Saccharomyces cerevisiae S288C: one gene and its partners. Changing the gene in region 1 together with any one later gene gives a genetic interaction. Each region holds a gene or a part of one and is shown on either strand. Other genes may lie near its edges.

Region 1 (7,514 bases):
AGGTTTAGACAATCTATCTGAAGGTAATGATAATGATAACACAAGAGTTAATGAAGATACAGACGTCACCGACACGCAAGAATCAGAACATGAGATCAACGGTTCTGATACTGAAAATACGGATATGTCCGAACAAGAAGAAATACAGAAAATAGATAAACCCGCCGATCAAAACGCTAAGTCAATTGTAAAAGAAGGCGATGCCAATACTGAAGATTATGAAAGTGTTTTGAAAAAGCTACTGGGAGCGTTAGGACGCTTTTTTGGCTCATGGTTTTCTTGGTTGACAACGAAAATGTCAAGCTCAGAGGCATCATAATCAGGGAGTGTATTTTTTTTCGTTGTCGTTATCCTCTTTGTATTTTACGCTGTTGAATTCTCTTAGGATTCGATTCACATTCATCTTTTTTTAGCTACTAATAGGATAAATTATAGGAATTTATAACAAATTGAAATATGGCAGGCAGCAAAATTAAAATTGTCTTAGTTTTTTAGTGTATAGAAGTGAATAGCTATATAAAGTATGTGTAAAGTTGGTAACGGAACGAAAAATAGAAAAGGATATTACATGGGAAAACATGTTGTTTACGGAGAAATGAAAAGTATATTGTATTTTGTACGAGCTAAAAGTACAGTGGGAACAAAGTCGACTTTGTTACATCTACACTGTTGTTATCAGTCGGGCTTAGTACATTGGTTGGCCGGGTTTTAACTGCAACCAATGCCAAGCTTCAGCGTCGGCTTCTCTTTTGTACATTGGTTGGCCAGGCTTTAGTTGCAGCCAATGCCAAGCTTCAGCGTCGGCTTCTCTTTTGTACATTGGTTGGCCAGGCTTTAGTTGCAGCCAATGCCAAGCTTCAGCTTCGGCTTCTCTCTTGTACATTGGTTGGCCAGGTTTTAGTTGCAACCAATGCCAAGCTTCAGCCTCTCTTTTATCCAAAGATACCCCTTCTTCTTTAGCAGCAATGCTGGCAATAGTAGTATTTATAAACAATAACCCGTTATTTGTGCTGTTGGAAAATGGCAAAACAGCAACATCGAAATCCCCTTCTAAATCTAAGTAACCGATGACAGCTTCAGCCGGAATTTGTGCCGTTTCATCTTCTGTTGTAGTGTTGACTGGAGCAGCTAATGCGGAGGATGCTGCGAATAAAACTGCAGTAAAAATTGAAGGAAATCTCATTCTTTTAATCGTTTATATTGTGTATGAAATTGATAGTTTGTAATCTTCTTGTTTGAACTATTCTTGAATCGTAAATGAATCGTAAGAACAGTAACATTTTTGATGGGAACAAAAGGCCCTCTTATATATGTACTTATCCAAAACCTGTTGTTGCTTTTTGGTTTTCTTGCACTTCAATACAATTGAAGTAAGGCTCACTTGAATATTATGTGTTTGATAAATGAGATGCATCTTTTCACATGGTCCACTGTTTTTCAGTAGAAGCTATTAAATTCGGCAAAATTTACTGTCGTTGATGGCCTAATTAGGAAGGTGTTCATAAAAAAAAGGAATACAGATGTTCTATTGAAGGACTAATTAGGAAAGTTAATTGGATTTTGTTAAATAATTGCACAAATAGTTGTTGGATATTGCATCAGAATTATGCAGATTACCAAAGAGAACGGGATGTCTATTTAGCGCATTTATTCCTAATTCGGAAATTATTGAAATCCACACTACTTAATAGTGCTGCACCATTTATCTCATAATTATTGCCTACGCTAATGAAAGCAAATCTTATTCCGACTTCAAATTGGATCTCTCCTCAAGAAAAGAAGCTCAATGACCTATTAGAGTATGAATACTTGTAAAACAAATGAACAGCGAGTGCTTGTTTAACTTTTTTTTTTTTTTTTTTTTGATTTTAGGAATTGATACGAAACATAGTCTCTCTCCATTTTCTCCCACAACAGGACTGCAGTAAGGATGTTATTATTAATAATATATATATTATATAATTATATCTTCTTGTTAAGCATGTCTTCCCTATATGTCACAGTTTTCTTAAAGCAATAGAATAAAAGACACAATACCAAAAATTTCATGTCGAGTATGTCAGTTGAGATTTCTCTAGACAAAATGCAAGAAAAAATAAAGATCTCTACTTGTCAAATACCTTTAAATCTTATCAATAGAATTCTTAGAGAATCTCATTGAATCTTTGCATTCAGAGCGTTTAATCATTATCAGTCTGTCTCTTGGTCAGCCTAAAGCTAGAATTGAATCCTAAAAGTTCATTGATTCCTCTAATCCAGTCATTCTCGGTCTTGGCGACACAATAAATCCCTGACCTTTTAGGCTTTTTTGAATTATTAAAGTCATTTTCAGTTTTTCTTGTCGTCGGAAGCTGAGTACCATCTATGTATATAGTGCCGACCTCATTTATAACATAAATTTCATCACCAACATCTAAATCCTGTTGAGGAATACCATCAACAGAAAGTTTTACCACACTGTTGACTGGTTTTTGGTTCAATTTGGAACCTATCTTTATCCTAATGTGGGATGAATGAGGCAAAATCAGTGGTCGGAATGACAAAGAGCGAGGACAAATTGGTGTCATTAAAATAGCAGGGACTAATGGGGAAACAATAGATCCACCTGCTGATAATGAATATGCTGTGGAACCCGTTGGAGTGGCCAATGCAACACCATCTGCTGTCGTTCTTGTCAAAAATTCCCCATCAATGAAAATGTCCAGGTTAGTGAGATGAGGGGAATTACCCCTATGTAAGAATATGTCATTCATAGCATGGGTCACAATAGATGAGTTGCTATCCTTTTTTTTCAAATGACATTCTAGCCGTGTTCTATGCAAACATTTGGCTCTAGAGCTGATTACTTCCTGAAAGACCTTTTTATGCTCCTTAAAATCAAACGGTGATAGAAAGCCCAGAGTGCCCAGAGCAAATGCTAAAACCGGAGGAACTTGCGTATTTCCGAACATTGATACGCCGTGTAAAATAGTCCCATCACCTCCCAATGTCACCAATAAGTCTGTTCTGTTTACGATATCTTGTTCAGGACCAGTATAAAGTATATGAGGTCGGTTGGGATCATTCTCCAAAGGAGATTTGAAATCCTGGGAAATTTCTTCTGCCACATCGGGTTGAACAATGACGTTCACCTCGGGGTATGACTCATGTAAATGAGTTATGAATTCAACCATCGCTTCTCTTGTGGATGGAGTCCATGGTTTTTTAGTTATATAAACATTTTGTAAAGGGTTCTGCCAGATTAAAGATTGTAATTTGGAATTTGGTGGGGACACGAAATCTGCTGATGAACTACTCCTCAAGTTATTTACTGGCTTTATTTTTACAAACTTCGAGCCGCTCTGTAACTTTAGGGAATGTGAATCCAACGTACTATAGAACCTATACCATTTTACTGGTTTATTCAATTTAACCCTGACAAACATTTTAATCAGTATCCTTAACCTTTTTATCCTTTTATTTATGAAACAGCGAATAATGAATACTTAGTCTTCTCCTGCCTTTTTTTATTTTTATTTTTTTTTCAATTTGGAGATTTCGGAAAATTGTGAAAATGTGTGAAAAGCACAAAGAAGAGTTGAGAACTGTGGAAGTTTCTTAAAAGTCGCAACTTAGTGATGCATATAGATACATGCAGCATTTCTGACAGTTACAGTTTTCAATAGCCATTGTGTGATTTAAATAGTGCATTGTTCTTTGTAACAATCTTGCAGTTAGTTTTACTTCGGTGAACTTAAATTTAAATTACTTGTAACGCATATATAGTACTTTGGTTAAAATTGTGTATTCCACATATTTACATTCTCGATTAAAAGGATTGACTTTCATAGCTTATCTAATAACTAGATCAACATTTCAAGTTGATGCCATGTCTTTTTTCTTCTTCTCTAATCTCAAACATTACCTGAACAGCAATAAATAGGCTTACCATTACCGCAGTCAAAAACTCCGGACTATGTGAATTGTTAAATATGCCCTTCAATAGAAGCTTCGTTCCCTCTGCACCCAAGCAAAATCCATAGACATTAATAATCATCATCATGCAAATATTTATTGCAGCACCGATACCGCAAACAAACCTGTACCAGCTTCTGAATCTATATCTACTAAAACAGTTAGTAATGTAGGTTTCGCCTAATAATAAAAGGACTGTTAACCACCCCCAAAACAACACTCGTAATTGGATGTCATGCCATATTGCTACAAATGAGAATACGGCAAAGCTCGTTAATATTTTGTTATTGGACCCGCCAAATGGAACATAGATGTAACGGATTACCCACTTGTTAAAACTTGTATGCCAGGCTCTCCAGAATCCCACTGTACTATAATTATTATCCACACATCGTAGCATATTTTCAGGTGCATCAATACCATCGACCATGGCCCACAGCCGAAAGAGCCTCCATGGGATCAAAAGTTTTAAATACATAATGTTCAAGTTGAACAGCGCGATCATAGCCTGTTGCAAGGGTGTATCATTGTTCCATGCCTTGGTCCTTGCTATTGCACCCACATAGATATAATGTAGGATAATTTCCATCAAAAGCAAACTCGAAAATACTTTGAGGGCATAGAAGCCTATGTTTTTTTTCGTTAGCGAAGGAAGCTTATTTTCTGATTGATAAAGGTAGTCATTAAAAGTGATAATTGGGCCCACTAAAAACAATGGCGCGTAAGTAATATAAGCGATAAAATTGATAAAGTTGTAATCCTGGATGTGATGTTCTGCTACCAGTCGTTCCTTTTCCTCCAGAACATTCTTACCTGACTCATAAATGGTTTGTAGAGTAGAACCAGATAAACTTTTTCTGAATTCAGGTCGTCTATCATCGTAATCTATCGAAGGTTGGCGGCTCAATTGTTCATGCCATCTTTCCAAAAAATCCATGGAGTAACTTAACAAACGCAATAATGTAAAATTGAAAAAAAAATCCCATCGAGGAACGATACCCTTATACCATTGATCCATGGGACTTAGGATGATAGCAATATTATTAAAGGGGAGATTTTTCATTTTTTGATTGATGAATAGTGTAAAGATACCATAGGACCAAATCGCAAAAGCGGCTATCAAACGCTTTCTCTTTAGCGAATGTGCCAAAGTGAAGAAAATAAAAGCATGCGTAAAGAGCTTAACAGAATTGATCCCGTACATGAAACAGACAAAAACTAATCCACACGCAAAATCGAATTTTGTTTTCGGAATTTTACTAAATTTAACAAAAACCTTTTTTAATATAATTTGTAGTAATATTAAGATGGCCAACAAAAAAAAATTGGATCTAAAAAACCTATACTGAGGATCGCTGTTATCCACTTTGCGGCCCAGAATCCAACCATGGGCTAGCAGTCCGCTGAATTTATAGTAGTTTGGATTAGACTCGGAGCTCGTAGCCAATGCCGCCTTTATCATGAAAGGAACTACTACGGTGAACGCCAAATAATATAGTCTAAATTCCCATGTATTCCATAGCGGAGGAGATGGGCTATTAGAGCTGAGCACAGGGTTACGGGTAACAGTAACGGCACTAGAAGATGAACCATTCTCTTCTTTAGATGAATTGATAAATATCCTTTGTCGCCTTTTGAATTCAATGTCTGGCTTTATTCGTGAATCAAGTGCCTGCACGGAAAAGAAATGTACGATGCAACTCCAGATTCTTAACATCGACATCTGACTTGTAGCGATGACGTCAATTATTTTTGAGCCCTATAATAAGGTAGTTGAGAAGACAAATTTGAAGCACCCAAAAACCCTCAAAACAGTACCTACCTCAAAGCTAGCTTCTCTTTCTTCTTCTATTTGACTTCATTTTTTCCATATTCACCATTGGTACCTTCCATAAACAACTATAACGCAGTACAAATGAAAAAAGAAGAAAAAAAAAAGAAAAAAAAAGAGACCTAAACGCGCCAAGATTACAGGTAAACGAGTAGAACTTTGATCTATGTGCCTGAAAACCCCTCGGGCACAGGGTTCATAACGAAAAAAAAAAAATCGTAAGTAATGGTAACCATAGTAACCGATGCATGGGTTTTAAAAGTCACGTGCTTAAGTCCATTAAGACCGGAAACCTCTACACCAGTTCTCCTTCTGCAAGGGTTTTCTTTTTTTATTTTTTTTGATGGGATGGCTCTCTTTCCCCGTGTTTGTACTTTTGATATATATAGGATATTCATCAAAACAGCGTTTCGAACTCAGCGCTTGCACGATAACATAAGCACCTCGAGACACATTAGGAAAATTTAACATCCTATTTATTTATTGAATTTACAGGCACGGAAGGCCAATTAGTTTAATTCAGACACATATCATGAGAGCAGTCACTAGAAACAAAATAGTCAATAACCTATACTTTTCTACATTTCTCATTGCATTCGCATCAGTGGCCATCGGTTCTGTGCTGCCATGTCCAGCACATTCAGTGGATTCTGATTCACCAGCTGTACAGCAACACAAGCTTCAGCTTGCTCATGAGCAGGAGTTAAAGAGGAAGGATGCTTTAAGTAAAAAGATTTAAACAGGTACGGGCTATCTGGAACTTTTGATAAGTTGTATTCTATCTCTTTTATTTCCTCTTTTTATTTATTTTCGAGTGCCGTAATCTTCGCTACTTCAAGTTTCATAATCAATCGACTTTCTGTATGGGTAAGCATCTGGTGTGATGCAGTTTCATTATGACACCACAAATACAAAAGAGACTATTTAAATATGTATATAGATCACATTCCAAAAAAGAAAACCATTAATAATATCACTCTTTAATATTCCAAATTGAAACGAAAAAGCGCTATTCTTATTCGCTTCCTAACTACCGCCCTAGTTCGTGCTTGCATTTTTTTGTAGAACGATAAATTATGGTATCCCACGTGATTGAGTGTAACCCTGAATTGTTGAAGAGAAAATGAAGCGGAAGAAGCAAAGGACAAAAAACAATTCATTTGATTTTGCCACTTCTAAATGAAGGTCTAATAAAAGCTATCTTGAGCATCTTTATTAGATTCTGCACAGCAACAAGCGATTTTCTTTGGTCAAAATATAATAATTGACTTACGTTTTTCCCGGACTGTCCTTTCATAATATAATAACCATCTGCAAGCCATGTCAGATGAAAACCATAACAGTGATGTTCAAGATATTCCTTCACCTGAACTATCCGTCGATAGTAACTCTAACGAGAATGAATTGATGAATAACTCAAGCGCAGACGATGGAATCGAATTTGACGCCCCAGAGGAAGAAAGAGAAGCCGAAAGGGAGGAGGAAAATGAAGAACAACACGAACTGGAAGATGTGAACGATGAAGAGGAGGAAGATAAGGAGGAAAAAGGAGAGGAAAACGGGGAAGTAATAAACACAGAAGAAGAAGAAGAAGAAGAACATCAACAAAAAGGCGGAAATGATGATGACGATGATGATAATGAAGAGGAAGAAGAGGAAGAAGAGGATGATGACGATGATGATGATGACGACGATGATGATGAAGAAGAAGAAGAAGAAGAAGAAGAAG
Region 2 (7,798 bases), on another chromosome or scaffold:
TACAATTTTTCTGCTTGGTAACTTTACACGATCCATACTGTAATTTTCGCATTACCTGCGTAATGACTAGAATGGGCACGTGATCATAAAATTAGAGACGACAAGAGCTCTCCAGTATTCTTAAACGGTAGCCCTTGGTTGTGATACAGCCACATGAACAGATTCCCACTGCAGCCTTTTTTGTTGGGTTCGAATAGACAAGATAAATAAGAGCAGTTACACTATATAATATATATATATATATATATATATATATATTACATTACTGACCTCAAAGCATCACAAATGTGTCGCTTCCTTCTTCGCCTTTTAGTTGAAGACATCCTTTTCAATCTTCCTCCTTACAAACCCGAGCGTCCTGCTTGCATATAAAAAAATCAAGGCAGATGAAGAGATAAATATAGTAATATTTCATTCTTTGAGCCGTACTAAGTATACAATGTCAAATCCATTTCAAAATATAGGGTATGTGTAAAAGAAATAGGGAAACATCTATTCGTAAAGCCTAAACTAACATTGGATATCTTTTTCTATTTCCCGGACTTCTTTTTTGGTTATTTCCTTATTGGCCTATCCCTTGAAGCAGAGTTTGATTGCACCATATATATAACCAAAGTGAAGACGAAAGTAGGAAAACACTACCAATGCGATTTCAACAGTAAGAATTTACTATACATTTCTGCAGCCGGGATTGCGTCTATTTATGTGGTCAAGACCATAGTGAAAGCTAGAAGAGATGCTAAATTTATACCAAAGGCGCGGGGAAACAATGGTGAAGTGAATGAAAAAAACTATTATGATAACCTTGCTCAAGTCAAACCAGGGTTCCCCATACCTAAAGATGGAGGAGACAACATTGATTGCTCTGAGGACCATCAATTAGTAAGAAAGAGTAAATATGAAGGTAGCGGGCTTAGTGCTGTAACAAGAAAAAGAGGTGACAAATTAGGTTTTTTAGATAGGAGGAGAAACGAGTAACACACGTTTAATCAACCTATCCATTTTTTCAATGCAGTATTATGTATATATATATTCATCGCACTGTAAATAGTGACATATTATGAGTCAAATATGCCGAATAAACTTTAAAAGTGAGAAAAGCCGTCACCGATGAGTAGGTTAGCGTCACCTAGTGGCGGTGGTAAATATTATTACATAAACATATCAAAGTTTTATTAATACATTTTTTAATCCTTTAAATTTTCTGGAAACTAATACATAATGAAACTCGGAAAAATTAAATTTAATAAAACCAAATTAAATCAAACAAAAAATTGACAATTAATTATTTCTTTTCGAAATAGTCCGCCATTTCCTTGTCCAGATCTTCAAGACTTTTCTTAGCAGGCTTTTCTCTCTTTGGTTTGTTTTGGGATTTTGCCATAGCAGCTTTTCTATTTGGACCCCTCTTTACTGGTCTTGGAGCGTTTCCGCCTTTTTGTGGCATAGCCTTGATCCTGTCGGCTAAACTTTTGACTGGGCGTTGGTTTGGATCAACGATTAGGTTAAGTCTCAATCTTGATCTGCCTCCATCGATTGGAGAGCCGTTAAATCTTTCAACAGCCCTTCTGGCCAATTCACCGTTTTTGAATGTGATGTTAGCCATACCAGTAGATTGGCCCCTTTCGTTATAACTCAACAAAACTCTTTGAACACCACCTACTTGAGATGCAAAAAATTCCTATAATAAAAAAAAAAAAGTTAGTCATATATCTCTATGATATAAAATCAAAGAAGGAAGGGACAATACACAAACAATCAAGGAGTTGAGAGTATTAAAAGTATACCATTGCGTAGGAAAAATAAACCCTCAAATAAACATGTACCACGATGGGTGAGTTCCTCTTTGGTTTCATTAGGTGTCTCAAATCAAATATTTTTGTAACTATCATAATAAAAAAATGAAGCGATGCACTCATATCTTTTCGAACGTTCATGAAAGACATGTTTCCCATAGCTATTTTTTGAAAATGGTGCCATTCGAAACTGAAAGCTACTCCCTCTTGAAAGGATACAAAATTAATTGATCCTTCCACAACTTCAGTATTGGATGATACGCTTATTAAAAATAGGAACTAACTATCACGGTCGAGGCGACACAATACGCCAGCTTAAAAATGTAAGATTGACAGATTAGCAGATAGTCAGATTGATTTGAGTTAACCCAGCCAATAAGAACAAACCCATTCTCAGTGGTAGCTGGTAATTCCAACCTTATAGGCCATGATTTGAAGTATTGAAAAAAATTGGTATGGTTGGCTTATGAAAACGATACTCTTTTTGTATTTTCTCTAGCGAAGTATTTCGGACTCTTTCTTCATCTCTAAAAAGAGAATTCTTGATCAAAAGCGTGTGCCATATCCTTCCTTACAAAGAATATTTCTCGTATCCACACGAGACGATGCGAGTAACTAAACAAATAGCTCTCATTTCACGTATTAACATACTCTTACAGCATCCTGCTTAATGTCCCTTGGCAAACCTTCGACGTTGACCTTGACCTCTCTAGTGGTGTCCAAGAGCTTGGCAACTCTAGCGACTGCGTTTGGAGGTGCCCTAGTATTTTTTCTGATAGGGCCTCTTCTGTTTGGAAGGCTCCTACGTTGGCTACCAACTTGCTTACCAACTCTTCTTGGACCGTTACCACGAGTACCACCGACACGGGCTCTATTACTTCCTGCTTTGTTAGAGCCAATGATTTCGTCTAAGGATTTATCTAAGTTAGCAGACATTTAGCAGATGTAGGTATTTTCTTAATATGGATTTCTTAAAGTTTCAAATAGAACGAGGGAGATTTTTTTATCTATTTGTCTTCGATAGTTTTCGGATAAAACTTCTTCTAACAAAAAAACCTACTACTAAACACACGATAGGAATGACAGAAAAAAGCGAACGGAAGAAGTGAAAAAGGATAAATTTGGCGGCCTTTTATAGTTCTTCAAGTGGTGAGCCGAAAGCCGTGGAAAAACAACACGTCTCCCCGCCCCTGCCTCGTCGCGAAAAAAAAAATACTAGCAACTGGACAAAGAACTCTGTGGTAGTGGTAAAATAGCTTTAATATACGTATTTACTTTGTAAATATAGTTACATAAGGGTTTTTTATGTGTTAATGAACAGAAAACGAACAATTGGTAGCAGTGTTTTATAATTGCGCCCACAAGTTTCTATTTTTTATTTCTTTTAAGTGCCGCTGCTTCAACCATGCACTTTAGCTGTTCGGGGAAATCCAATTCGCCTAATTTGACTTCTAAAAGTTCTATCCCGCTTCTTTTGTTTGAATTCTTAAGCTCCTCCAATTTCAGTGCTAATTTAGAGGGACATTGAATGAGAGTGCTATTAGTATACTTTCCGTCGAAGTCTCCGAATGCTTCAAATAGTTTGGTCCATTTCCAAGACATAACGTCGTTATACGACCTGGTAGGGCCCATGATGGCTCTTTCAATAGTGTAGCCGTTATTGTTCCAAATGATAACTTCTAGTGGAATATTGCACTTCAGAATGGTGCTCAGTTCTTGGATTGTCATCTGTGCTGCACCGTCACCTTCAAACAAAATTAATCTTGGCTTATAGTCCTCTTTTACGTTGCCACCATTGATGTGAGCGTTTGAGTGGTCTTGCATGGCAATTCCAACACCTAGGGCGGCAGGAAGGGCCATGCCAATGGAAAGGAAAAATCCTTGCGATATATATTTTAATTGCGAAGGAAACGCGAAATCACGAACAGAGAATTGAAAAGAGCCTGTTTCACAAACGACAACATCACCAGGGTTCAAAAATTTAGGCATCGTCTTTTGTAAGTGAACTTGTGTAATAATGCTTGATTGTCCATTGGTAGGATCTTCTAACCGCATTGTTTCGTTCGTATATTGAGTTACATTTGAATCATATTGCAAAGAAAGTTTAGAAACGTCAATGCGCTTGTATAGTTCTTTTAAAATAGGGGCAAAATTGATTCCTTTGAACATTTGCTCATTGCCCTGCCTAGTGTCCACAAGGCGAATATAATTCGGATGAAATTGAATGATTTTAGCATTTGGTTTATAAGTAAAAGTATAATGCCCATTATTAATTTCATTGATGTCGACTCCAAAATGCAAGACCAAGTCGCACAGTTCAAAATGTTCATAGACTTGTTTTAAACCTTCTTTACCATTATATTGACCCATATAAGTTGGGTTTGACTCATCAATTACAGATTTTCCCATAACAGTGGAAAAATTCCAAATCCCAGTTTTGCAGATAAGCTTGTTCAAAAAGTTACTCACACCATACCTATCAGTCAGTACGTCTCCAAGGATCGCAGGTGTTTTACTGGAATATATCCAACTAGTAATCTTGTTGATTATGTCAGACAATTGGTTTTCAGAAGGGTATACTATACAATCTTGTTGAGATATACGTGGAACATTAACCAAATTATCACATGTAACAGACATATCCGCAAAATCTGCAGGAACAAAAATATAACCAGGTTTAGAATACTTGTAAATATCGCGGATAACATTATCGACTTGGTCACATGCAGTTTCAATATCCTCCAAGTAGGCTACCGAGCAAGCGACTCTATCTTTTACCATATCATGATATACTTTATGATTTGGCCCTTTAAAATTTGAATCATGTAGCTGTGGGACCAAATGATGTAGGTTCCGATCACTAAAGTTACTTGAACGCGAATCTATGGACTTGGCCACACCAACAATGTGCAAAACTTTGACATTTTCAGCGAACGAACCGGCTATACCGTTCAAGGCGCTTAATTCACCAACGCCATACGTGGTTATTAAACAGCCAATCTTATTAGAGTAACGGGAATATCCGTCGGCCGCATAAGCGGCGTTCAGTTCATTACACGTGCCGACCCATCTTAGGCCAGCTGATTCAACACTAGGTGAATAGAGATATTCTAATAGAGATAAGTTGAAGTCACCAGGAACACCGAAAACTGATTTCGTATCGATGGACAACAATCTTTTAAATATGTATTCACCAAACGGAATTGTTGCTGATCGGTTGGAAACAAGGTGTCGTTCTTCTTGATTTACGAACTTTTCAATTGTAACAGGTGCCATGCTTAAGGGAGTTTCTTTGTTATCTTGTAAATAAACTTTACAGAAGTCGCGTCAACTTGTTTTGAGTATCAAGTTGAGAGGGTTGATCAGTTAAATATGTTTTATATCAGATTTTATGTAGTATTAATAAACGCAGAAAAAAAATGAAAGTGAGCTGCCGCTGTAGTGACGATGCAAACTAGCCCAGTTTATATCTTAAACTTTACTCAACACAATAAATAAGATGCCACTAACCTATTACATACCGACACTTACCGAAGGTATCAAAGCTCCGCCGCACAAAAGTACGACAAATGCTCAGCATGACCTCGGCAATTTTCGGTAAATGACGGCTATCCGCGGTTATCCCTCCCGGTAGGTAACCGACACTTTGGAGAGGATTCGCAAAGGCTCAAAGTAATATATGACGGCTTTTTCAAAAAATAGCCTAAGCCTACTACCAAATGTTAATAAGGAAGCTACATGAGGTGTACAAGCATCGAATTTTGGATTATCTTTTTCGCTAAGACGTTGTTGTACGCTTTCAATCCTGCTTTTTTAAATTTCGGTGGACGAACCAATCTAAAATGTAGTAAAACTGGTAGATGTTAATTAATTAACCTTGCAAAGCCGAAGAAAAAAAGGGGTTCGCCAAATTATTCTTAACAAAGATAATGTAGCTTAAACACACAAGAAGAAGAGGAGACGCAATACCAAGAGCATGCCTAAGAGATTAAGTGGGTTACAAAAAGAAGTCTTACACCTGTATAGGGCTTCCATACGAACGGCTCATACAAAACCAAAGGAAAACCAAGTTAATTTTGTGAATTATATTCATGAAGAATTTGGGAAGTATAGAAATTTGCCAAGAAAAGACTTCACCACCATTGAACACTTGTTACGGGTCGGAAACAAAAAAATTGCCACCTTTTCACACCCTGAACTGACGAATATACATTGAACTATTTTCTTACTTTATTCTTTTTTCATATGATTTCTTATTTAATCTATCCTATGTTTATTTAACTTTTGCAAATCTGTATTATGCTTGCTTAAATATGTCTCTATAGTTTCCAAGTATAAATTCCACGATATAATTCCTCTCCTTCATGTCCACAATATCTTTCTCGCCGTCAAAATCGTGGATAAGACTCGGTGCAAAGACCAACGACAAGTTATGTAAGTTCATTAAATTTCTTTCACTGCACCTTCGAACTTTGCCGATATGTGCTGCCAATACTTTCAATACTTCCTGATGCTCTACGGGTAAAATTTTGAAAATTTCAAGTAGGCTTTTGAGCACCATTTCATAAATAGTCACTTTTTGTGGTGAATCCAAAAACTTGTCGTTGTTTAATGGTAGCCTCTCAATTAGTTGGTTATTTCTAACTAGATCTATCAAGGCATCGTATATGGAAAATGATAAAACTGGATCTGGTAGTTTTCTCAAATATCGTTTTAATACGCTAGCCACTGCATGAATATCTTGATTCAGTAAAGCATTCAGTTTGGGACTTAATGTATCACTATGCAACGAATTATTCTGAGCGAATTCATTTTCGATCTCCTCAACCAAAGTCTGTGAGCCCGACTTTCTGTATAAGCCTTCCATGTTCAGGCCTATATCATCTTTTTCAATGCGATCAATGCAGCACCTGATAATTATTGGAACAGTACTTTTTTCATACGCACATCGAGCTTGTAGCGAAGATCCATATAAATGGGAACCATCAGGCGTATAATCTAATCTCTTTGGACTTGGCGACAGTGGTACTTTGCCTGGAGAAGGAAGCTCATCGTGTACTCGAATTAATTTCGGTGATGATATTTCTTTCTGTGCTATATTTGTCGTTCCGCCTGAAGATGAATTTGGCGAACGTTGCTGTGATTCTAGATCGCCTACCTGGTGATCCTTAGCACTTGAAAATATTTTCCAGAAGCGTGGTTTAGGACTGGCATTAGATATGCTCCCTTTTCTGTCGGAATTTGAACTTGGTGACTTTACAGTGATTGATGTTGCAATGTTTTCTTTTTGTTCTAAGGACTCCCGGGAAGATGCAGATTGCTTATCCTTTTCTCTTGTTAAATTGTCAACATCATTTAACAGCCTCTCTTTCGCTAATCTTAGATTTTCAACATCTTGTAATAATTTTTTCTTCGTACCTTCTAGTTCCCTCACATCTAATTTTAACTTCCTTAAAGTCAACTCAGTAAAGTAAAAGTCCTTTTCCAAGCTTGTAGCGCTTTCATCAGTAGCATCCACTTTCGTGGAATCGTCTTCCAACAATGCATTAGTGGATCTAGACGTCTGTAAGCTAGAAGATCTGTGGTGTGCGGACTCAGATGACAGAGATGGCCTCTTAAATAATGGCCCTGATTCCAAAGGCGGCGTACGGAACATTGCTATATGATGCCCCGAGCTTGAACTTGTAAATGAACCATTTATGCGTCTATTAGTGGCTGTATCATTAGAATTTTGCTTTTTGGATATACTGCCAAGGCTGCTTTGCGCTTTTTTGTGATTAAACTCCGGTACTGTAAAATTTCCATGTTGTGGTAGAGTATTGTATATTGTACTGTCACTTTGGCCTCTTGATACAGGATTTTTTTTGGCTTTTGATTTTCTTATATTTGTATGAGTAGAGGAAACACCCCAGCCAGAATGAGTGTCTGATTCCTGTATAGAAGTGCTGTGATGGGGATGCTTTGGGTCCAGCATTTCCGAAGTTTTACTTTTCAGGTTGTGA
Region 3 (8,072 bases), on another chromosome or scaffold:
CCAGGACAATCGGTACCAGCCCTTTGTAGAGGCCCCGCGGGCCTTCGTCTCTTACTATAGTACTTAATGTCCCCATTATCCCCCTATAGTAGGGGTTCTCGAACCTAGTTTGTAGTCCTTGTGCTTGCAATCGCGTTTTGGCAACATCGAGGGGACATACTGCCACACCTGATAAGAATCCAGCAAATGCGCCGGAAAGAGCTGTGATCTGAGTTGAGGATAGTGGTACCCATTTCTTTCGCAGCGTTGTCCCTATAATTGACTCAGTACTGCTGTTCATCTTGATGGGCTCGATGATATCTGCTGAGGACAGTTGGGAGGAATGATCAGGGAATATCAATTGTTCTTCATGCAACAACAGTGGCTCTTCATGGTCTGCAGAGCAATACTGCTGCTCGGGCAGTAAACCGCAGTTGGGGACAGGATTATCAGTCTGTGTCATTGTGCTAAAGACTGCTGCCTTCAGTGTTGATCTCACTACTATTACGGTTGGCAGTCTGTAGTAGAGATTCTTTTCAGAATTCGATTAAGCACTAGGCCGGTGGGTAACCCCTAGAAATTGGTGCTATTGGACCATATTATGAGAGTCATTTAAAGGGCCCTTCGGGCTGGCTCACATAAAGGTTGGGATCTATGACCTTTATCAATACGGATCTTACTACTGGCTATTCATTAATTCTCGAAATTTGCTGTCCCTTGCGTGCGCCGTGGATTGTGTTCGATAAGGCTTACTTTATAACGGTTGGAATATTGGATAATAAAGGGAAAAAAAATGTTCAGCATTGAGAGATAGAAAAGTTATCACCAGAGTAAAAAGGAGCAAGAATTAGAATAAGAACGAACTACAATGGAGGAAGAAGAATTAAGTAAATTGTTGGCCAATGTTAAGATAGATCCGAGCCTAACATCAAGAATTAGTCAAATAGACAGCTTCAAACTGTCGGAATTGATGGTTCTAAAGACAGATATTGAGACACAACTAGAGGCGTATTTCAGTGTGCTTGAGCAGCAAGGCATCGGCATGGACTCTGCGTTGGTGACGCCAGACGGGTATCCTCGTTCGGATGTCGATGTATTGCAAGTCACTATGATCAGAAAGAATGTTAATATGCTGAAGAATGATTTAAATCACCTTTTGCAAAGATCACACGTCTTACTAAACCAGCACTTTGATAATATGAACGTTAAGTCAAACCAAGATGCAAGAAGGAATAACGACGATCAAGCTATTCAGTATACCATCCCTTTTGCATTTATCAGTGAGGTAGTACCCGGTAGCCCTTCAGATAAAGCAGACATAAAGGTTGATGATAAGCTGATTTCTATTGGTAATGTGCATGCGGCAAACCACTCTAAACTTCAAAACATTCAGATGGTTGTAATGAAAAATGAAGACAGGCCACTTCCCGTCCTTCTCTTGAGAGAAGGGCAAATCCTAAAGACATCGCTAACACCTTCGAGAAACTGGAATGGTAGAGGTCTTTTGGGTTGTAGGATACAAGAGCTATAATCTTCGTCATGTACTAAAAAAAACCAATCCAGTTATTACTATTACTTTTTATACTATCTGCATATTACCTACGTTATCTAACTTGTGATTCATTCAAGCTGTACAGCACTTTATATATATATATGTAGCTGCTTCTTAAAAATTATTTGCTGCTATTTTTAACCACCATGTAATGTTGAAGTAAAAGAGATGATGTCACCGTCTTCCAATATGTAGTCTTTTTCGCCTTCGAGCTCCCAATCGGTGTCGTTGATTAATGTGATGATACCGGGTCTTATAGAATCATCTTCGATGAAGATACTAACGTCATTAGGGTTATTGATCATAGTAGATACAATGTGGTCAATCAAATCGCCCACTGTGACAGGATCTTCTTTGTCCATCTTAATTTTATGTACTCTTTGTTTTCCAAAAATAGCATCAAGTCCACCTAGAAACTCCACTTTCACGTTTACCATCCCGATTTTGCTATTAACCTATCTCGTTTTAGTATCAGAAATCAGTATTGTTTTCTGCTTTGGGAATTTTTGAGCTCTCCATACCGTCTGCCAGTAGTATTTCATTAGGTCGATGCGATGCCATTACTTTGTCGTTATATTTTTTCTGCCGAAGTGGGCGACAATGTAATTAAAAAAAAAAGTCTAAATAAGATTGAGAACTTGGGAAGGAACATAATCCGGTATGTGAAATCAATTGAATCTATCCTCTGTCTCGGTATAATATTATACAAGTTAGGAGAATAGTTATATATAAATATATGTGAACTTGTAGAACTGATGGCATTTGATGGCCGTCACATGGTACGCCACTAAAACCTTGATTAAGTAGATTAGATTAGACTAGCAAGTGTTGGTAACGTTTTGTAGGAAAGAGTCTCAAAGTACCCAGCGCCAACTTTTGCTAAAGTCAATCATAAAATATATGTTTTTAAAATATGTAGGTATGCCGTGCATTTTTATTCTTTTTTAATGTTTAGCTTTCAAAAAAGCTAAAATAAACCATAAGCGTTATTCTTATTATATTGATAGTAGAAGAGGAAGAGTGGTTATCTTTACTCAAATTAACGATTGCTTTTATTTCTTACATTAAGGTCGAAACTATTTGCTACTATGAAAGCCAAGCAGAAACAAACAAGACCTTATTAAGATTGATGTTTCAAGCTATGCATTCCCAATTCAGAAGAACAAGGGAAGAGCATAAGACGGCTATCTGCATTTAACAGTAGTGGTCACTCCTACAGTAGTCATACTTCTCAAGCCTACTTTCGGTATGGCTTTTAAAGTCATAAAATAACGAATAGTTCGTATACCGCTCATGTGGCAAACTCAATAGCAAAATGTGATTTCATATCACGAAGTTTTTTATATTTTTTAATTATACAATTGTAATTTGTATTACGGAAATGAAACATGTTTGTATGTTATGTAGTATATCAATAATTGATTTACCGCATCTGTAAAAGAGAACCATTTATCACGCACATAGTTTTAGTATTCACTAATCGGTGCTCTATGGAAGTACGAGACACCGTGCATAGATGGAAGGGGAAGGTAATAAGCTTCTCTCTAAGAATTTTCTTTGTAAACCCTTTCGACTTCTGATTTAACAGCGGCTAAGATTTCTCTTCTCTTTAATTTTTGAGCAGATGTGACAAAGCCATTTTCAGGTGTCCATTCTTCATCAAAGAAAACAATACCACATAATAGTTCAATACCAACCAAACCTTGAGATTTGGCTGTTGCGATCATCTCTTTGAAAACAGCATTTCGTAATGCTTTGTCATGGATATAGTTTTCGATGTCTTCACCCTTTTTCATAATACGCAATTTGACAGCAAATTTAGATAGGGGTCCTGGGTTGGGTACCACAATACCCACCGGTTTAACCCTACTTTCATCGGCATAAACACAGATATTTTTCACATAGGAGTTTGACCTGTAAACAGATTCTAACTTTTCTAATGCAATATATTCACCATTTAGGGTTTTAACCAAATTCTTTCTTCTATCAATAATTTTAAGTTGTCCCTTGGGAGTCCATTCAACAATATCACCAGTACGAAACCATCCATCGTAAGTGAAAGAGACCGCCGTTTCTATTGGATTCTTATAATATTCAGAACAGACCGGCGCACCCTTTAGAAGCAATTCACCTTGATTGTTTTTTGCATAATAACCTAGGTCCTTAACATCCACCAATTTGGCAGTGACCGATCCAACAAGATCACCAACTATACCATATTCGAAATGATCAGGCTCCAAAACACAAGCATTCGCAACTGTTTCAGTAAGGCCGTAACCGATAATCATAGGACACAGGACGATAGAAAAGAATTTCTGAGCATCAATACTGATCGCAGACCCACCGTTCATAATATACTTAAGATGACCACCGGTGGCTTGTCTGACTTTCTTGAAGACCATACGACTTAAAAACCCGGTGCATGGTACACTCTTTTCTTTCATACTATAGGCAGACCAAAAAATCTTTTGGAGTACGGGAGTTAAATCGCTGATCTTTTCCAAAATAGCTTTTCTCACAGTTTCCCAAACGGCAGCCACACCGATCATAATAGTAGGCTTAAACTCAACCAGGTCACCCTTACAATTACGAGTCGAAGTATTAGTCAAAGTCTTAACACTACCGTACCCAAGAATACCGTTCCAGTAAAAGGCTTCGAATTCAAAGACCAGTTCAAAAATATGAGCCAATGGCAAGAACGACAAAACACGGTCTGTAGAGCCGATCCATCCAAAGACGTTGTGACCTACACCAGCGATACCCGAAACAATATTATAATGAGTCAATACTACACCTTTTGGTGCACTGATCGAGCCCGAGGTGTACATGATACAAGCCAAATCTTTTGGCTCAGGTGGATGAAGTTTGACCTCATCTTTACTTTTTTTACCTATCTTGACAACTTCTTCAAAACTATAAATTTTTATGTCTGGCCTAACTTCTCTGATCTTATTAATGGCATCCTTAGCAGCCTTGTAAAGTTTGCCGTTTTGTCTTCTGTCATTGGGGTCGATAGGTTCGTTATGGATAAGAAATTTGATATCTTTAGCAGATTGCAAAGGCACTATCATTTTAGCCAATAATTGATTATCAGTGAAAATAGCAGCAGACTCGGTTTCAACCATGGAGTGAATCAAACCGCTCTCACCCAAAGTATCATACGCGGTTACTACGGGGATACCCTGGGATATGCAACCAAGGAAAATCTTCATCCATTTATGGGAAGTAGATGCGAAGATGTGGAATTTGTGTTCTCCATTGGGCTTGATGCCTATTTTTGCCAGCCCACGGCCCATATCGTGCATCACCCAGATCAGTTCCTGGTAGGTCATCATTTTATATGGTGACATTTCATAATACAGCCATGTCTTTTCTATAGATTTATCCTTGCCGTCTACCTTTCTCACAATGGTTTTCTTTGTCTCATGAATCTCGATGACATCTCTCCAAGCCATACCATCTCGTTTTCCACCCTTGTTGAAACACTCTAGGGCAAATTCATACAGCGTAGATGCTGACGAGTTCAATGGTCTAATTAAGGGCCGCTTCTTGACTCTAACATTTCTCCTAGGGGCAGTCTCGTGCTCATTAGCAGCTTTACCGACTGCGACAGAGTGTTGTTCGGACATTGATGTATGCTCATGTCAGCTTCAGGAAGAGAGGGAAAGTGATAAAGTGTTAATACGCTAGTCTCGCTTTTATGCATGCAGAAAGCAAATAGCAAAAAAAAAAAAAAAAAAAAAAAAAGAGGAAGAATGTCAGTTATGTTGCGGGTTAAGTCTATTTCGATTGGAGTTCGGGGAAAGATCGTTTAGAGAACTGAAATATATGGTTTTGCAACTTCGCTCGATGCTGTCGTGCGAGAATCTAAGAGAGAAACAGAATAGCCAAGGCTTCTGCCACTTTTAACTTTAAAGCTTTGAGATAACGAAAAGTTCACTCGATGTTCTTTTTTTTTAGGATTTTCGATTGTCGGTTCTGTAATTGATGTTGTGCTTGGTTAGTTTGGGTCGGCCATTTCATCTGTAGCCTTAAGCTTCTGCATTACTTTCAGTGGCCGTAGAAAGCTTTTACCTGAAAAAGTATATTACCAAAAACTGCTGGTATCATGCGTCTGAAATCTCCAAAATTTCGCCTTGACAAAGACCGTAGCCTATTTTTACGCTTTCCGATTCTTGACGAAAGGCACAACTATGAATTTTACTTCGTAAGTTTCTGACACTCAGAGGTCGCAATAATCACTTGGGTGCAATACGCTAGGTAGGACCTCTAGCGAAAGAAAAAGTGGTCCAATAAAGATTTCTCTTTCGTATCTTCATTCCGACAAGTGGTTAGCTGTAGTGATAAAAGTGGTCATAGCATTCCAGTTTCCAAACGGGGACAAAAATCTGATGGGTGGTTGCTTCGCTTGCTATACGTTAGTTAAGGTATCATTAATGTCATTATTTTTGTTTTTTATCCTGGTTTAGTTATCTGTAATGGTGGGATCACTAAAATGCAAAGGAAATTCCAGATATAAAAAAAATTTCTTGTCTTATTTATTTAGTTTACGTACCCTTCCAAATGGGTGCTTGCCTGTAAACAATGATGGTTCGTTCCGGTAAACTTTTGGCGCTCTATTGTTGAGCTATTTCTAATATTTTGTTGGGCGTTTGATATTATATGATGATTTAGTCTGGGCGTTGGCGTCAGCGCCTTAGATGTAGTGTTTTCAAAGCAGAGCTGCAGTGAAGAAAGAAAAAAAAAATGCTTATTATGGCATAGTACATCGTTAGGGGAGAGTAAAAACAATCATCTACGATGGTCCGGGTATTTAACGAAATCTGAGCAGAACCCTTTTAAGGGCGTCGGTCGTTCCTTGGATAGATCATGCTATGTATAGAATCATCTTAAGGGTTAAGTTATTCGTTTGTTTACCTCTTTCCTTCCATCGGGATTACTAAGATCTCAAGATTCTTTAAAGGCGCTGATTTGATCTTAAATCGGACTTTACTGGTACCTGACATGTCCTTTTCTTGCTAGTCACCGTTTATTCTTAATCAAGAATGTCACCAATTTTCTGCGATAATCCAAAACAAAAAAGCGTTTAGCGTAGCTTTTTGGAGGCTTCCGTTTTCTGATGAAAGTGATACTGTTGGCTAGAAAGAGCATGCTAAGAATCCTCCCATCGGGAGCCCTCCGAAGGGAATTAATGGCCTTGTATTGTCTTTAAATACGTCTGTGTTCGGTCCATAGATTATCTATTATTCATTATTTCACTACGCCTTCAAATCCTTGTGCTTTAGTTCCCCTAAAAATGATAGCCTTTGATTTCATTTTTTCACTCCGATTATTTTACGTCATGACCTAAAGGCCATGAATTATAACAAAACAGGTGATAACCGTGATCCTGTTATGCTAATGATCGAAGCGCTCCTGCCCCAGGACTGCGTATAATGCCTGTAATTTTTCAAGGAAAAGAGTGGTCCAAAACTATAACATAAGTTGAGTTCGTCACCAACCGTCCCTCGACGTGTTGATAGTGAGGATCATCAAATATACAAGGACCTCGTTACCTCCTTATATAGACGATGACTCGCGTGCCAAATAGAATTGACATCATCCCAGAAAATAAATTTGTTACGTAAGACAAAGAAATAAAATAAACGATAGATTTTTTGCAGAGGTCAGGGGATTTCTTCAATTGAATAAGGGCTTTTAAGCCGTCTCCTCTCTTTGATATTTTTTTTGTTTTCCTTTAGCACTTCGTGATGAATTTTTTGATGGGAGGGATGAAACAGGCAAAAATTACACTAGCATGAAAATAACGGCACGTTCCATGCTTCAAAGACAAAGGTTTGAACTTGGGCCAAATTGTGAGCAGCTGTTTTGAATTAATCAAACAGCTCATGGTTTTTCAGTTCTTTATGTTCGAACTGGGTTGTGGTCCATATCATGCCTCGCCTGCAACTTACGCATTAACCTTCATCACGGTATAGCGGAGGCAAAGATATATAACTTGCAAATTATTGAAAAACGAACATGAAAAGTAGTAGAAAAATCAGCTAATAGAATCTATCAGATTAGGCATATCCATTTTAAAATGAAAATTTATTTACGTATATCGACTAGTATTCATACTACTAGCATGTTACCATATATGCTATAAAAAGATGACAGAAAGATTGAGATGTACCCATCAGATTTAATGAATGCTCAAATGCAAGTATTGGTAATGTATAGGATAATGAAACATATAAAAAGAAAAAGAAATTACAATATTATTATGAGGAAATATCGTTTCCCTTTTGTGGATATATTTCCAAGGTAAACTTCCGCTAATTTTGTATGCCTATTACTATAGCCTTCAACAGCAACGGTATCCAACAGTTTTACAAAACTTACGAATTTCTCAATAGTTGTGTGAGTACTAGTCGACGGATGATAGTTGGTACTTATTTCAACAAATGATACGTTTTAAACTGCTAGTTATCAACACTTTTCTACCAGATTCTCATTATATTTTAAAAAAACATATACTATACAAATAAACGAAATTTTC
Region 4 (7,565 bases), on another chromosome or scaffold:
CATTGCTATCTGTCTTTTCGCTGTAGCAGACAGTGCTTTTATCGTCTAAATTGTCATTCCTAGAGTGATCAGTTTCCAGCATTTTCAGAGAGACATTCACGAGCACTTTTTTGCTATATTAGAGTTCTGCTAGGACCCAAACCATCATTTCAATTAAATAAGTCATCTCTATTATCCAAACATAGACCCTTCGCCACTCAAAAGCCACAGAGGGGTGCAATTGTAAGCCGTGGCAGCCTCTATAATAGTATACATTTGTATCACATTTGGGTGCAATAATTTAAACAGATTTTTGCAGTTGACTCAGGACTAAGGGCAATTCTTGCCCAAACTACGGAACCCTGTTTCTGATCCGAAGGGCTTATAATCCATAGAAACCCTTACATTTGCTCACTGAAAACCCTGTGTCCTTATTTGGTATATATGATGCGAGGATTAAACGAAAACGGAAAATTTTAGGTTTGAGGGTCCCATTAGTTCAACTAAAAAAGAAAAACGAAAAAAAAAAAAAACAAAGTCAAACCATAAAAAGTTTTGAACTACAGAAAATGTAGGCTTGTCTATTCTCCTGAATTTGACTTTTTTTTTTTCTAACTTTTTCACACCCCTTCATTAACTAATTAAAACTGTCGTAGAATTTCCCTTCATTTTTATTCAGCCATCCTCAGTTAGGAACGATTGATACAGCCTTCATTCGTCATTTCGTGACTTGCATGTTGGATTGGAAAATTTGCTGGCGGAGCAAAGTCAAGACGTTCAGAGGGAATAGTAAATGAGATTGTACGAACCGGTGAATATATTTTGCTGGCTAGATTTTAAATGGCCATTGTGTTATTGCTCTATCAACATAAAAGAAAGTATATGTGTTTTCAGAATCGTAAAATTTGTGACAAACTAAAAATCAGTATCTTCATAAAAGTAGTAGAGACATTTCATAGGTACGTTCCGCCCTTAGATAAATGTGGCTGCAGTTCATAATGCAGTGTGTAGTAGAGATGATTCTGTTGATCATAAACAATAATATATAATTTCACTAGTACTTGTTCTTATATGCACATAACTCGCCGTATTATCTGGCCAAATGAGCTATAGAGTAACCCTTCTCTCAGCATTATTATAATACAATACCAATGCAAGGACATATGGAAAATGCTACACAAAACTATACTTTAGTGTATTACATAACTCATACCGCACTACCAGATATATGTCGTTACTATTTAAAGTGCGGTATGTAACATAGATAAAAATAAGTATATGTATATGTATAAAAATCTTGTCGTCACAATCATCAATCATTCAGATATGTAAATTCTGCCCTCCCATGGCTTCAATGTTCTGGAAGACGCATCAACTTCGCTTCTTGGGTAGTTTCCGAATTCCAACTTAAACGACGAGCTATTGTTTGGAATCGTGAAGTCAATCGAATCAGAGCTGAAGTTCAAAGCAGCAAACAATGTTTTGTTGTCGTATTTCTTTGTGAAGCTGAACAGTTTCTTATTGTCCAAATCAATAAACTCAAAATCATATCCATATACAGTAATATCCTTGTGTGCCTTTCTAAATCTCAAGGCCTCCTTCCAGAAGTTCAAAACCGAGTTGGGATCCTTGGATTCGTCTTCAGCGTTAATTCCTTCCCTGAAAGACTCGTTCAAGTAAAACCATGGTTTAGCATTAGGACCAGAAAAACCAGCATTTGGCTCCTCACGAGACCATTGCATAGGTGTTCTAGCATGGTCTCTGGAAATAAGGGCAATTGCTTCCAAAAACCTCTTCATCTCCTTCGAGTTTTCTCCATGCTCTTCCTTGATCGCATCATAGTTATTTCTAACTTCGACATCCTCGTATTTTTCGATAGGCCAGTTCTTGAAATTGATTTCACCCAGTTCCTGTCCTTGGTACACATATAGAGTACCGCTCAGTGACACCAACAACACAGACAACAACTTACCAGAAATAACACGGTTCTTAGGAGAATCGTCACCAAATCTGGTAATTGAACGAGGTTGGTCGTGATTTTCCAGATAAATTGTTGACCAACAATCAGTTCCGTTAACGTATCTGAAAAGTTCAGCAAGGGCAACCTTCCAATCCTTTAGTTCATATGGGATCAAATTTTGACGGAACTTGGGCGAAGTCCCGACATCAGTGTGGGAAAAGTTGAATAACTCACTAAGTTCGTGTCTTGATGCACTTGTATACAACCTCTTGGTTTCATCAGTAGCATGTTGCATTTCACCAACTGTCATAATTTCTCTGCCATCCTTCACTCTGTTTCTGATGAACTTGTTCATTTCTTGATGAAACTCATGGATACGTGGTCCGTTCATTGTGAAAGGATCACTGGGTTGCCACTTTGAGTTTTCGTCAATCACAGGAGCGTCTGGTAGACCAGCAACCTTGGAGTACAAGCTTCCCACATCAATTCTAAAGCCGTCTACACCATGGTCTAACCAGTATCCAACGGCACTTTCGTAGATTGCCTTTCTACAGTCCTCATTCTCCCAATTCAAATCAGGTTGGGTGGAGCAAAACAAACGCAAGTAAAACTCTTGTGTCTTTTCATCGAACGTCCATGCAGAACCACCGAAGTAAGACCTCCAATTGTTTGGAGGAATTGGCTTGCCTTCGGCGTCATAACCCTTAGGAGGTCTCCAGAAGAACCAGTCACGTTTTGGATTGGTTTTTGAGGATCTGCTCTCTTTGAACCATTCATGTTCGCTCGAGCAATGGTTGATGACTAAGTCGGTGATAAATTTCATACCAAGCTTATGTGTCTTTTCGATCAAGGCAAAGCAGTCCTCGTTCGTACCGTAGGTTGGCCAGACCTTTTCGTAGTTGGCAATATCGTAACCCATATCATCTTGTGGCGAGTCGTAGAATGGTGAGATCCAAATGGCATCGGCACCAAGCTCTTTGATATACTCCAACTTGGAGGCAATACCCTTCATATCACCCCACCCATCGTTGTTGGAGTCTTTGAAACTTGCGGGATAAATTTGATAGATTGTGGCCTCTTTCCACCACTTGGGTTCTGTTTCTGGATGTGCAGAAGAAATAGTCATTGTACGTTGCTTTCTTTTCTTTATGAAAAAACTTTCACTTTTGTTTGTGTGTTTGGACTGGTGAATGGAACATATATTCTAGTACAGCTAATTCCTCGAGTGAAGAAGTCTTTCTTACTTATATATGTCTTTTACGTGCCTATGGACGTCTTACGAATGATCGAAAATAAGAAAAGAACAAAGTAAATTTAGGATCTGGAAGGAGTGCTGTATGTAAACGAAGCTTTCAGTTTTAGGTAATGTTTGCACAACCTACATGATATAACATGGTATGTTCTGCAAGAGCGTGCCTGGCCCTTGGCCCGTTATAGCAGATCATACCATCTGCAAGCAGACCCCATTATTGCACTGCCTCCGCAATCTTGCGTATACGTAGTCCCACGACAAAGTACGAAGCGTAAACTGACCTTGTTCAGTTCCCCACAAAAATTACATAACCATTTCTCCGCGGAATTACATAATCATTTCTCCGCGAAAATTACATAATCATTTCTCCGTGCGAGTTATAAGTGCTTTTCTCGTGCATCCCTTGGCACTTCACAAAACCTTCTTTTTCTTTTTTTTCTTTATTTCAGGGGAAATCAGTGCAAAACTAAAAAAGAAAGAAATTTTGTGAAATGTAAACTCCAGGTGTCAAAAAATAAATTATATCCGTGGAAAATCAGGCGTCGGAAATTGTAGATGAAACCGCCTCCTCCACAATAAATGCTGACCACACGAACAATGCATACACTCGGACACCTTCGTTCAAAGTATCAGTAGCAGTTCGACACACCGTATACTACTTAGCTCTTAAGGTCTAGGCTCATCTTTCTCAGTTCCTCTTTTTCGCTAATTAAAGGTATATAATGTCACAGTTGTGTAACTAGAGAAGAGCACACTTGTTCCTATCTTTTTCTTCTTCTTTTTTTGGTATGAGTTGAAAAAAATAATCATTGCACAATTTAGTTCTAAACGCTTTTGTTATTACTCAATATCATGTCAGGTGTTAATAATACATCCGCAAATGAGTTATCTACTACCATGTCTAACTCTAACTCAGCAGTAGGCGCTCCCTCTGTTAAGACTGAACACGGTGACTCTAAAAATTCCCTTAACCTAGATGCCAATGAGCCACCTATTGACTTACCTCAAAAACCCCTCTCTGCGTATACCACCGTCGCAATCCTGTGTTTGATGATTGCATTTGGCGGCTTCATCTTTGGTTGGGATACCGGTACCATTTCTGGTTTTGTTAACCTTTCTGATTTCATCAGAAGGTTCGGTCAAAAAAATGACAAGGGAACCTACTACTTATCGAAAGTAAGAATGGGTTTGATCGTCTCAATATTCAACATTGGCTGCGCCATAGGCGGAATTGTCTTGTCAAAAGTCGGTGATATATATGGTCGTCGTATTGGATTGATTACAGTTACTGCCATTTACGTTGTAGGCATCCTAATCCAAATAACTTCCATAAACAAGTGGTACCAATACTTCATTGGAAGAATTATTTCTGGCCTAGGAGTGGGAGGCATTGCTGTCCTTTCCCCAATGTTGATATCTGAAGTTGCTCCCAAACATATCAGAGGAACTCTGGTCCAATTGTACCAGCTGATGGGTACGATGGGTATTTTTCTAGGATACTGTACCAATTACGGTACCAAGAACTATCACAACGCCACTCAATGGAGAGTCGGCCTTGGTCTTTGCTTTGCCTGGGCTACATTCATGGTTAGTGGAATGATGTTTGTACCAGAATCACCACGTTACCTGATTGAGGTTGGTAAAGATGAGGAAGCGAAACGTTCACTATCGAAATCCAACAAAGTCTCAGTTGACGATCCAGCCTTGCTAGTTGAATATGACACTATAAAGGCAGGAATTGAACTTGAAAAGCTGGCAGGTAACGCATCATGGTCTGAACTACTCTCCACTAAAACAAAGGTCTTTCAGCGTGTTCTCATGGGAGTGATGATCCAATCGCTGCAGCAATTAACCGGTGACAACTACTTCTTTTACTACGGTACCACCATCTTCAAATCTGTCGGTCTAAAGGACTCCTTTCAGACTTCGATCATTATCGGTGTGGTTAATTTTTTCTCTTCATTCATAGCGGTATACACCATTGAGAGGTTTGGACGCCGTACGTGTCTATTGTGGGGTGCTGCTTCTATGCTATGCTGCTTTGCTGTGTTTGCCTCCGTCGGTGTGACAAAGTTGTGGCCTCAAGGAAGCAGTCACCAAGACATTACTTCTCAGGGCGCCGGTAACTGTATGATTGTGTTTACTATGTTCTTCATTTTTTCGTTCGCCACCACTTGGGCAGGCGGCTGTTACGTTATTGTCTCAGAGACGTTTCCTCTTAGGGTCAAATCAAGAGGAATGGCAATCGCAACAGCTGCAAACTGGATGTGGGGTTTCCTGATTAGTTTCTTTACCCCATTCATTACCGGGGCAATCAACTTTTACTACGGTTACGTATTCTTAGGCTGTCTGGTTTTTGCATACTTTTATGTCTTTTTCTTTGTCCCAGAAACAAAAGGCCTGACACTGGAGGAGGTGAATACTATGTGGCTGGAAGGTGTGCCAGCATGGAAATCGGCCTCATGGGTGCCACCGGAGAGAAGAACCGCAGATTACGATGCTGATGCAATAGATCATGACAATAGACCAATTTACAAGAGGTTCTTTTCCAGCTGATCTTCTAGTTTTCGGTAAATTGGTAAAAAAGCAAAAAAAAAAATTGACGAAACTAATTCTCTATTATACATAATGTTTTTACTTTTGTACCCTTTAATTTCTAATGAATGTTTTATGGAAGCTTCAATAAATGCGTGACTGGCTATAGTTGTCGGATGGCAATCCATTATTATGTATACCGTATTATTAAGAGTGCAACTAGGCCCGACTATAAATCTAACACTCAGATCCTTGTACTGTAATGCATATTTATTTTTTCACAAGTTGCATGCTAATAATACCATGATATTTTTTGAAGCCTTGAAAAATAGTTCAAGCAGCTACGATATCATGAATCAATATACTCATTGCAGCCTATGTAATATATATAGGTTCCGTGTTACCACTCGTTTCTGATATTTTCGATATGGCTACACTGGGTTTTTCATGATGGAAATGTGATACTACCAGTTCCAATATATTTATCTTCCTTATCTATATGACACGCTGTTATTTTAGTTCAAGTCAGTGTCCAATTGGGGTGAGTGTCACGTGCACAACGACGGTAGTCGTTGGATGTGCTAAATGATGTTCTACTGCCAATGACTGCAAATACGTTCGAAGAGTATAAAATCGAAGGAAACGAATTAAGTTGCCAATCCTTACTGTAACTATAGCATGTTACATATATGTACCATAAGTATCACATTAAGGTTTCGCCATAGCCATGTGCCTATATTAAATAGAAATATCACATGGCGATCCACGGAATGTTTATAGATTTTCTTCTTTTGTCTATGGCCCGGGCGAGACATTAATTTATCTTGCTGAAAAATTCGAAAGTTAAAACTCAATTATGCGTGGGATTTCTCAATTAGGTTACCAGAATTTCAATCTGCTGAAGAATTATGTCTTAAAAAAAAAAGTCCCGCCTCAAAAAAGCCAAAAAGGGTGTGACTGTAGATTGTGGGTTACTTGCTGTCAAATGACATGAAAATCTCTGCCTGCATGATCCCTGTCAAAATTCGAAAACACGCGGTCATAAAATTGTGCCTCAAAAAGATATCTTTTCCTGCGGGTTCTCTTAGTAAATGAGGTTAGGTTGTTTCCTATTCTTACGAGATTTCCCTTGTTCTCGCCGCTCACATCATTGTCGGTAAGATCTTCCGTAGTGGCAGGTCAAGCAGTGAGGAAGAAAGATCGGCAGTAAACTGATAAGAGCCAAACCGAAAAGTTTCTTATACGCAAAAACGCTTTGAAAATTCTCCAAGAATCCTATTTGAAACTCTTATTAATAAATAAAGTATAAATATAATAAAGTTTATTGTGAGACATGTCGCGATAAGCACCCCTTGTCTTTCTTGGAAGGGAGAAATTTGTAATATAAAGCCAAGTGTTCAGAACTCGATTTTTTTCTGACCAAAGAGCGGAAGCTCCACTATAAAAGTTGGGAGGTACTTTTAGGTTCTCTTAAGTTCGCATTTAATTATGGCCTGAACGATTTTACTGTGGACAATAAGTGAAATAAGTGTCCTTAAAATGTGTACGATGTGTACACATCAACCTAGTCTCCCCTTCATTGGCAGAAGAGGGAACCATTTCATCCAAAAAGAATAAAAAAAATAAAAAAAATCCAAATATTAAGCTAAAAAAATACTTAACTGTTTACACAAAGCGTATATAAAACGCATATTAAGAACCTATCTCGTTTCAGAGGAATAAACTTTTAATTCCTCAGTTAAAAAAATTAGTTAAAGAAAGCAAGAACGAAAATACCGACCAATGCATTCAAAGTATTGGCATTCAAACCTGCGGCAATACCCTCGGACTGGACAATGA

The links.
Region 2: mutations in POS5 (region 1) and ARO10 together harm fitness less than expected from each alone (positive genetic interaction), as found in Saccharomyces cerevisiae (one large-scale study listed by BioGRID).
Region 3: mutations in POS5 (region 1) and FAA3 together harm fitness less than expected from each alone (positive genetic interaction), as found in Saccharomyces cerevisiae (one large-scale study listed by BioGRID).
Region 4: mutations in POS5 (region 1) and HXT11 together harm fitness less than expected from each alone (positive genetic interaction), as found in Saccharomyces cerevisiae (one large-scale study listed by BioGRID).

Annotation. Positions count from the first base shown.
Region 1 is NC_001148.4:187,317-194,830, reverse strand, and holds POS5 (NADH kinase), read right to left. Parts: upstream 3,426-7,514; coding exon 2,181-3,425; downstream 1-2,180. Other genes in the region: UIP4 (Uip4p), read left to right, coding at 1-319; MF(ALPHA)1 (Mf(Alpha)1p), read right to left, coding at 686-1,183; GUP2 (putative O-acyltransferase), read right to left, coding at 3,848-5,677; COA2 (Coa2p), read left to right, coding at 6,318-6,524; NAB3 (Nab3p), read left to right, coding at 7,106-7,514. UniProt on the Saccharomyces cerevisiae protein: Phosphorylates both NADH and NAD(+), with a twofold preference for NADH. Anti-oxidant factor and key source of the cellular reductant NADPH.
Region 2 is NC_001136.10:1,231,492-1,239,289, reverse strand, and holds ARO10 (phenylpyruvate decarboxylase ARO10), read right to left. Parts: upstream 5,073-7,798; coding exon 3,165-5,072; downstream 1-3,164. Other genes in the region: COI1 (Coi1p), read left to right, coding at 440-465, 660-978; RNA-binding protein YRA1, read right to left, coding at 1,286-1,681, 2,448-2,732; SDH6 (Sdh6p), read left to right, coding at 5,773-6,012; GTPase-activating protein RGA2, read right to left, coding at 6,094-7,798. UniProt on the Saccharomyces cerevisiae protein: One of five 2-oxo acid decarboxylases (PDC1, PDC5, PDC6, ARO10, and THI3) involved in amino acid catabolism.
Region 3 is NC_001141.2:336,432-344,503, reverse strand, and holds FAA3 (long-chain fatty acid-CoA ligase FAA3), read right to left. Parts: upstream 5,161-8,072; coding exon 3,076-5,160; downstream 1-3,075. Other genes in the region: YIA6 (NAD+ transporter), read right to left, coding at 1-442; NAS2 (Nas2p), read left to right, coding at 848-1,510; ubiquitin-related modifier URM1, read right to left, coding at 1,669-1,968. UniProt on the Saccharomyces cerevisiae protein: Activates endogenous long-chain fatty acids (LCFA) by esterification of the fatty acids into metabolically active CoA-thioesters for subsequent degradation or incorporation into phospholipids.
Region 4 is NC_001147.6:21,230-28,794, forward strand, and holds HXT11 (hexose transporter HXT11), read left to right. Parts: upstream 1-4,043; coding exon 4,044-5,747; downstream 5,748-7,565. Other genes in the region: ENB1 (Enb1p), read right to left, coding at 1-82; oligo-1,6-glucosidase IMA2, read right to left, coding at 1,296-3,065; YOL155W-A (uncharacterized protein), read left to right, coding at 5,855-5,989; HPF1 (mannoprotein), read right to left, coding at 7,474-7,565. UniProt on the Saccharomyces cerevisiae protein: Probable glucose transporter.